Linked DNA regions of Xenopus tropicalis. The protein of the gene in region 2 binds, or shares a complex with, the protein of the main gene of each other region. Links are inferred from orthologs where the notes say so. Each region holds a gene or a part of one and is shown on either strand. Other genes may lie near its edges. The genes, in order: fgf19 and klb.

Evidence for each region.
Region 1: the proteins of klb (region 2) and fgf19 are in contact, whole or in part, in a crystal structure (PDB 6NFJ), measured with the Homo sapiens proteins. The link is inferred for Xenopus tropicalis from reciprocal best matches to the Homo sapiens genes KLB and FGF19. Residues at the interface, in NP_783864.1 of Homo sapiens: Phe379, Lys380, Val392, Leu394, Trp419, Phe420, Thr421, Asp422, Val425, Thr431, Tyr434, Met435, Asn438, Tyr643, Glu693, Arg696, His743, Asn824, Phe826, Met832, Gln848, Phe849, Leu850, Gln851, Ile853, Leu862, Phe931, Phe942; in NP_005108.1 of Homo sapiens: Leu192, Thr194, Asp195, Ser196, Met197, Pro199, Phe200, Leu202, Val203, Thr204, Ser211, Pro212, Ser213.

The regions. Positions count from the first base shown.
Region 1 is NC_030680.2:12,860,111-12,864,639, reverse strand, and holds the start of fgf19 (fibroblast growth factor 19 precursor), read right to left. Parts: upstream 2,840-4,529; coding exon 2,605-2,839; intron 1,340-2,604; coding exon 1,236-1,339; intron 1-1,235. UniProt on the Homo sapiens protein: Involved in the suppression of bile acid biosynthesis through down-regulation of CYP7A1 expression, following positive regulation of the JNK and ERK1/2 cascades. Stimulates glucose uptake in adipocytes. Activity requires the presence of KLB and FGFR4.
Region 2 is NC_030677.2:36,114,945-36,119,448, forward strand, and holds the start of klb (beta-klotho), read left to right. Parts: upstream 1-1,611; 5' UTR 1,612-1,753; coding exon 1,754-2,485; intron 2,486-4,504.

The DNA.
Region 1 (4,529 bases), on a different chromosome or scaffold from region 2:
GTTCTGGGGTATTATACATGGAATTGGCACTGTATTTATCCTGCTGTGGGTTCTGGGGTATTATACATGGAATTGGCACTGTATTTATCCTGCTGTGGGTTCTGGGGTATTATACATGGAATTGGCACTGTATTTATCCTGCTGTGGGTTCTGGGGTATTATACATGGAATTGGCACTGTATTTATCCTGCTGTGGGTTCTGGGGTATTATACATGGAATTGGCATTGTATTTATCCTGCTGTGGGTTCTGGGGTATTATACATGGAATTGGCACTGTATTTATTCTGAGGTGTTCAAGGGACAATGTATGGAATTTGCATTGCATGTACGCTAGGGTATTATGTATGAAATTGCCACTTCATGTATCCTGCAAGGTGCTCAGTATAAGAAACCCTGGAAAATGCCTTTGCATAGAAGACTTTACACAGTGGCAGTGTGCTCCAGACATAATCTGTTCCTCAGTTTTATTGAGCTATAGTTCATTCACCTGTTCTGACTGAGCCAAAAATAAGCCGGGTATAAAGTTGAAAGGTAAAGAAGCGGTCAAATGAGAGCACTGTTAAAGGAGTGCTGATGCAATGAAAATGTACGAAAAATGACACTTTTTTCCTCTCTTTTCAGTAGGAAGGTGACGTTATCTAGATATTCTTGGCCAATTCCATGCAAAGGTAAGTAATATGGTATGTTGTACTGCTTCTGCGGCATACAGAATGTGCATCATACAACTTCAGTACATCAGTATAAAACTAATATGCTTGTTTATAGTGAGCAGTAACTTTAGAGCAAAGGACCTTTGTTTTAAAAAAAAAACCAACAGCTTCTTTATACATACATACATACATCCCAGAACACACGGCAGGATAAATACAGTGCCATTTCTATGTATAAGGGTGAAGACACATGGAGCTACTAGTAGCAGTTACTAGTAGTGGCTACTAAAACAGACAATGCTGATCATTTACTGATAATTGTCCCTATGTGTGTTTTAGCAGAGGCAATTCTCAGTAATGTCTATGGTATTTTCTGGAGTTTAGTAGCCCCGACAAGTAGCTGCTACTAAGTAGCTCCATGTGTCTTACCTTAATGCTGCTAAAAGACATTTTGGAAGCCACATGATCTGTTCTGCATACAGTTATCATGGCTGTTTGTATCCTTTATTCCTATATGATTTGTTCTACTTATAAGCTTCCACCCTTGCATATCTTTATTATTAGAAGCTTCAGAGCTCACTTACCATTCCATAGAGTTTTCCCTCGGACCCCATGCACAGGTACAGAGAGCTGCGATACCCTTTAATGGCAACAATTCCAACTGCAATTGCTCTGATTTCCAATAAACCTGCACATATAAAAACAAAAATGATTCAGATGGAAGATCCTAGATTTAATTCTATCATCTGCAAACGGTTTATATGTTTCCTGATTAAATTGACCTTAGTCTTTGTATGTATGTGATAGGGGCAATATAGTTTAACATTCACTGGGTCAAGAATCTTGGTAAAGCACTATGGAATATGTTAGGTCCGTTATCTGGAAACCCGTTATCTAGAAAGCTCCAAATTATGGGAAGGTCACCTCCCATAGACTTCATTATAACCAAATAATTCTAATTTTTAAAAATGATTTCCTTTTTCACTATAATAATAATACAGTCCCTGTACTAAGATATTATTAATCCTTATTGGAGGCAGAACAATCCTATTGGGTTTATTTCATGTTTAAATGATTCCCTTTTCTCTGTAATAATAAAACAGTACCTGTACTTGATCCCAACTAAGATATAATTACCCCTTATTGGGGGCAGAACAGCCCTATTGGGTTTATTTAATGGTTAAATGATTCCCTTTTCTCTGTAATAATAAAACAGTACCTGTACTTGATCCCAACTAAGATATAATTACCCCTTATTGGGGGCAGAACAGCCCTATTGGGTTTATTTAATGGTTAAATGATTCCCTTTTCTCTGTAATAATAAAACAGTACCTGTACTTGATCCCAACTAAGATATAATTACCCCTTATTGGGGGCAGAACAGCCCTATTGGGTTTATTTAATGGTTAAATGATTCCCTTTTCTCTGTAATAATAAAACAGTACCTGTACTTGATCCCAACTAAGATATAATTACCCCTTATTGGGGGCAGAACAGCCCTATTGGGTTTATTTAATGGTTAAATGATTCCCTTTTCTCTGTAACAATAAAACAGTACCTGTACTTGATCCCAACTAAGATATAATTACCCCTTATTGGGGGCAGAACAGCCCTATTGGGTTTATTTAATGGTTAAATGATTCCCTTTTCTCTGTAATAATAAAACAGTACCTGTACTTGATCCCAACTAAGATATAATTACCCCTTATTGGGGGCAGAACAGCCCTATTGGGTTTATTTCATGGTTAAATGATTTTTTTTTTTTAGCAGATTTAAGGTATGGAGATTACAGATTACAGATTACAGAAAGAAGCCCCAGTTCGCAAGGATTCTAGATAACAGGTCCCATCACTGTGCTATATAAATAATTATTAATAACAATAATAGTTCATTTGATTCAGAAACAATTGATGTGATTTATTCATAGATAGTTTTGCTCTACGTTACACTTACTGTGCATGCTTTGTTGCCTGTCACCATCGACTCTGCCATCCTCGTGTATCCGGAGGTAGTAGCTGTCGTGCCCGAACCTCCTGGCCGTATACAGGTGCCGAATTCTGATCGACTCCCCCCAGCCGTTCTGCATGTGCGGCCCGGCATCAAAAAGCGGCAGACTTTCCGCCCCTCCGAGGAAATACAGCACGGCCACCATCATGGGAACCAAAATCCAAGGCAGGGTCTTCCACATCTTCCCAGGGTTGGAAATGGCAATTTGAGAGCTCACACACACACACAAAGAGTCAGTAACACTAAAGTTGCTTGAGACAGACTGTCAGGCAATGCTTTTTTTTTTTTTTTTTAACCTAATTGCCTCGGGGCTGTAGTAAATACAAGCCAATCCCCAGCCTTTTATAGGACTCTTATCAGCTCCATAGATAAGGTCATACTATTTTCAATAAGTAGACCTTTCATAGTAAGCACAGACCTCCCCTTCCTATCATCATTACATCACCCTCACAGGTTACATACTCGGGTTTTTAGCTGTTTCATTATTCCTATTTGTTACCCCTGTTATTAAGGAAAATGTTTGTATAACTGAGATATTTTATGTGTAATTGTATCTTTGTCTTTTAAATCGGATCCGGATTTGGAAAAATGTTCAAAATTTTTTAAAAAAACGGATATATCTGTGTATACCTTGTACTGGGGGAGGGATAGTTGTCCTTTTATTGCCAAGCAGAGTAAGTGAGACATTTGTTAACAATGGCACATACCCCTGCCTATGGGTCCTCCTTTAATGGGAGGCTATTAGTACGTAGACCCTTCTGTGTCAGAGACTTTTCTTTGTCTCGCTGAAAGGAAAGCCCTTTAGGTCTGATCCACCTTTTTGGATTAGCAGCCTGCGGGTGTGGGACTACAATTCCCATCATGCTGGGGTGGGAGGGGGTGTTGCACTACAATTTTTGGCAGAATTCAAACCTGACCTGCAGTTTAAACTAAGAAATGTTAAAGTCCACAGTTACTTGGAAAATACAGCAGTGAATGAAACGTGTAGCCTTTTACTCCACCGTGGTCTCTGATTGGATGCTACACCAATATACGCCATACACTATTCACAAAAATGAAATTTAACCTTTTAATTGTGAACTGGGTATGCAGACTATAATGCGACAAAATGGCAGCACGTGACAAAATTGTATAGAACTGTAAAGGTGCCCATACTCATGCAGATTTAAGCTGCCAATTTGGCTCCTTCAGCTTATCTGCCTGTGTGTGGGGCCCTCCGACGGGCTTCCCGGGCTGAAAATCGTCCAGTTCGGACAGGCTTGATATGGCTCTTGCTCCGATTGTTATGGCCCCTAGATCCAAATGACCAGCTTAGAACGATTTCGCCCACATTAGGTGGGTATAACAGGCGGGCAGATCTAGTTTATGGCTTCATTCAGCATTCATTTGCCCTGACACATGTTCAAGTGCCGCTAGTGTCCCTGTATATTGACCTTTGTGAGGCTTAGTTGTGTAACACGTATCCTGTTTGTGTGTGTGTTGACTGCAGGGAAACTGTGTCCCACAGGACTAGTGCTTGACCCTTCCTGGGTGCTTGACCTGCTGTGTCCCACACACCGGGTATTTGTGTAATGCCGTACATTGATCTCAGTGGAAATGTCCCCAATGTAGCGCCTACTTAATTAGCCTCTTTATTTCCTGAATCAAAGTAGCATTTATATGTGTATTTTTGTCTGTTTGCCCATACTGACAATCTGTGGGTTCAGGGAAATGCCAGAGGGGCTGCTGTAAGGTGCCACAGACCAACCTTTTTTACCCTTTTACATTTAAATGTAAAAAGAGTAGACTTCATTATAGGGGGTGCCAAATAAGGCACGTTATTGTCTATTTGTTAGGAGACTCTGCTTGGCAGAGTTTTATGCAGCCAAAAC
Region 2 (4,504 bases):
TAGGCTTATGTCACAGAGACAATTTCCTATAGGTACATGGGCCTGCCTCATTTACAAACAGTCAAACCTATTTCTAGTCTGCTACATTTAGCAGCTACTGGTGTCCCTGTGTGACTTAGGAAACTACACCTCCTACTAAAGAAAGGAAATTAATAAAAATAATGTTTTAACCATGATCCCTGCCTTTGCATTAAAGGGGAACTGTGCATGATGTACAGGGAATGTGCTGCCCTCTGTAATTATACAGAGGGATAAATCTTAAAATAGGGAACCTTCCCCACATGGTAAGTGATAAATCAAGTACGTATCAGAGCCCATCCCTCAAGATATAATTAAGCTTTGACACGTCACTGCAAAGGTGCATTTTTTTTATTTGAATGGCCGCTGCTTCTCCTGCCCATATCTGGCATACTCCCAGTCATGAAAGCACTCATAGTAACACTGGCTAAAGGTGGCCAAACACTATAAGATCGCTGCTTTGGCGTCTTAAGAGTGAAATTCCCAGATGTAATATATCATGTTTTTATATGCAGCATTTCTTCCTCCGATTACAGTGTTTTGGAGCAGCAGTTGGATTTGTGTTCGGTGCAATTGCATCCCATTGCGCTAGTTTTTTATTACAAATCGGAGGCAAGATGGTGTCATTACTGGCAGTTGGCATGAAAATTACATTTGCCTGTTATTTTTTCAGCACAGGCGTGCTGCACATACTAACGTAGCTTGCAGAGGGGACCTTGGCATTGCCAACACCTTCAGGGTGGCAGTAGCTCTTGGATTCCCCTGTGTCAATAGGCACACTTGCACACAATTCAGCCAAACAGACATTTGCAAGCAGAATTGCACGTTACATAGTTACATAGTTACGCTGGGTTGAAAATAGACCAAAGTCCATAAAGTTCAACCCTTCCAAGCGCACCCTAGTGCACATATACACACACACACTCTTACCAATATTTCTATACACTCGCATATATACACTGTCTATATCAATATCTGTACTAATTGTCTAGATAAGGTTCATGTTTGGTGTTGATACATGCAATATTTCCATATAAATTGTGGTTGAGGTTGTACTGTAAATAAGACTTTTGTTTGTCTGTATATGTATGGTTGCATATACTGTATATGTGTGTGTGTTGATGCACTTTTAGCATATTTATTTTTTACCATTATTTTGTGGTTTGAAAATAATGGTAAGAAATAAACATGCCAAGTTGTGTGTTCAGGCCAAAGGGAATTCATTCAGTCAGCTGCAAGCTGGTGTAGAGCTGAAAGATAAAATGTAATTACCTGAAAGCAAGACATATCTGTTGGAAATGATCCTCCCATATATACACAGACATATGTTCCAGCTACCCCCCATACACAAATGAATGATGTATCCCTATAGGCACATTACATGGTGTGTTATGACAGCAGCACTGCTATGCCAGGAATGGCACTGACGTTATTAGGCAGCAGTGCCCACAGAGAGGACAGGTAACATATAGTGGAGGAGAGCAGCTGAGCCTTCCAATAGTGAGAGCAAGGACACATCTCCACCCCCTCCTCTCAGCGACCCCTCCTGGGCTCACAGTTCAAGCTAATCATTGACAGCATTTTTACAATTCAGTTCTATAGAGGAGCTGAGATAAGGACAGTGCAGCAGGCAGGGCAGAAGGCAGCTGACAAGGGTCAGGGAGAGACTTGCCTTGAATGAAACTCTCGCCTACATGAAAGGAACCCTCTGACCAGGAGACCCAGAGAGGGCACAATGGGGCACTTGTGGCTGGTGGGGTTCTTGGTGCCTTTAGGGTTACTAGGGGAAGTGATTGGCAGCCCAGGGGAAGGCAGGAGTGTGTGGGGAAGGAGCCATTCACTGAACCCCACAAACCAGAGTCAGCTCTTCACATATGGCACTTTCCCTTCAGACTTTATCTGGGGTGTGGGGAGCTCATCCCTGCAGATGGAAGAGGATCACTCCAGCAGGGGAGCATCTATTTGGGACACATCACTAAAAGACCACCAGTCTGGGCTGGCCAACAGCAAGAATGAGCAGCCCACTGGCAGCACCCCCAAACTGGCACACACTCTTCTACCCGCCTTGGAGTTTCTTGGGGTGAATTTTTACCATTTCTCTTTTTCCTGGCCCAGACTGTTTCCAGAGGGGAGTGGGGCCCCCAGTGATCATGGGGTGCAATATTACAACAACATGATAAACCTGCTGATCAGTAAGAATGTGATGCCAGTGATCACTCTGTACCACTGGGACTTACCAGCCGCCATCCAGGAGAAATACGGAGGGTGGGCCAACGACTCTGTCACCCAGCTGTTTAATGACTATGCCAGGTTTTGCTTCCAGAGGTTTGGGGATAGGGTGAAATACTGGATCACAATGCACAACCCCTACCTGATAGCCTGGCATGGCTATGGCACAGGGCTACACGCACCTTGGAAAAAGTGGGACACGGCGAGAGTTTCTCTGGTTGCGCACAATCTCATCAAGGTAAGCGCTCAGCCTGTGCCCCTGCCTTTACCTAATCGCTCGGAAACGCTCCGGGGGCGCCGACCCTCTGTCCTGTACTGTGCGCCGCCTGGGAGGGAAGCGAATACTGAAGGGCAGGGGGTTGTGGTGGCGGCGTGTGTATGTAGGTGAGTATATATTATGTTTGTAGGTGTGGATGGAGTTTTTCAGGGCAGCTACAATAGGAATAGTGTATAAGGTATTGGGTACGTAGGGTGTTTGTGGGGTATCTGTAATACGGAACTTGTGGCCAGGGCGGGGGTGGGTAAGGCAGTTGTGGCTGTTCCTATGACAGGTGTGTGCGGGTCTGCTCCGGGCAGGTTATAGTTAAAGTTACTGGCATGGCACATGTTTGGGGGTGTACTGGGGGCTGGCATGGTTATTGCTTTACTTGGGTGTTTACCTGCTGTTTGTCGGGCTTTCTGTGGTAGGGATGGTGTTGGTTGGGTTACCCTGAGTAGGCACAGTGTTGGTTGGGTTACCCTGAGTAGGCACAGTGTTGGTTGGGTTACCCTGAGTAGGCACAGTGTTGGTTGGGTTACCCTGAGTAGGCACAGTGTTGGTTGGGTTACCCTGAGTAGGCACAGTGTTGGTTGGGTTACCCTGAGTAGGCACAGTGTTGGTTGGGTTACCCTGAGTAGGCACAGTGTTTGTTGGGTTACCCTGAGTAGGCACAGTGTTTGTTGGGTTACCCTGAGTAGGCACAGTGTTGGTTGGGTTACCCTGAGTAGGCGCAGTGTTGGTTGGGTTACCCTGAGTAGGCACAGTGTTTGTTGGGTTACCCTGAGTAGGCACAGTGTTTGTTGGGTTACCCTGAGTAGGCACAGTGTTTGTTGGGTTACCCTGAGTAGGCACAGTGTTTGTTGGGTTACCCTGAGTAGGCACAGTAGAAATCCGCTGTCCATGCTGTTATAAATACACGTTTTTAATTTTTCAAAATGAAAAAAAGATAGATATATATATATAGCACCACATAAATGGCGTTGTCTGTATGTCTGTCAGTCTAGGTTCTATAAATTACAAGTAAATTTTGCAGTTTTTATTGGAAAGTTTTCTTTCCCAGTATTAGCGTTGCATATATTTTTTGGGTTCTATAGGGTGATGTATGCAATGTTACATAACTGAGATATAAACTTTATTTATTTTTTTTTAAATATACATTATTCTGTCATTTTATTTACTTATGTTCTTTTGATGTCTCGTGGCAATGGGAAAAAAGTGAAATTATTCCTGCAGGGATATTTTTCCGTAAACCTTTGATAAGCACCGCCAGTAGCCTTGACCTGTGATTGCTGTATCTCGTATTTCTACTGTTTATCTCTGTCTCTGGATCTGGCCACTATCTGAGCCATAGTAACTGACAGGGAGCCTGTATGAAGCCAGTCATTTAGGGAACATTTCAAATGCCCCAGCGGAGCTTACAATCTAAGGTCCCTATTCACACACAGTAAGGTCACTTTTATCAGGTACCTATTAACCTGCCTGTATGTTCTTGGAATGTGAGAGGAAACCCACACAGACACAGGGAGAATGTAGAAATGTCTGCAGATCCCGCCTTGTCTGGAATCGAATTCTAATATTTTTTTGCCTCCATGCTGTGCATCAAAACTTATTCTAAATTGGTTACTATTGGTTACTGCACTGGTGCAATATAGCACTTATGTTAGTAAATCATCCCCAGTGACAGCATCTGCAGAATGCTAGGGATTAAAGGTGGCCAGACACGCTACAATTACATCTTTCCCACGGCCATTGGTCATAGTATCATTGGTCAACCCTACTAATTCTGGTTCTGTATGAATAAGGATAATAATAATTAGGGGTGCACTGAACCAAGAATTTTTGGAGTTGTCCAAATACTGATTACTTGTACAAAATATTTGCATTTAAAAAATTGCATCAATTGTGTATAAAAAAATCTTTAATCAGCTGCCGACATCTTTAAAGTAACACAACTTTAGGGTTCGGATTCAGTTTGGCTGAGCACTTAGGATTCATCTG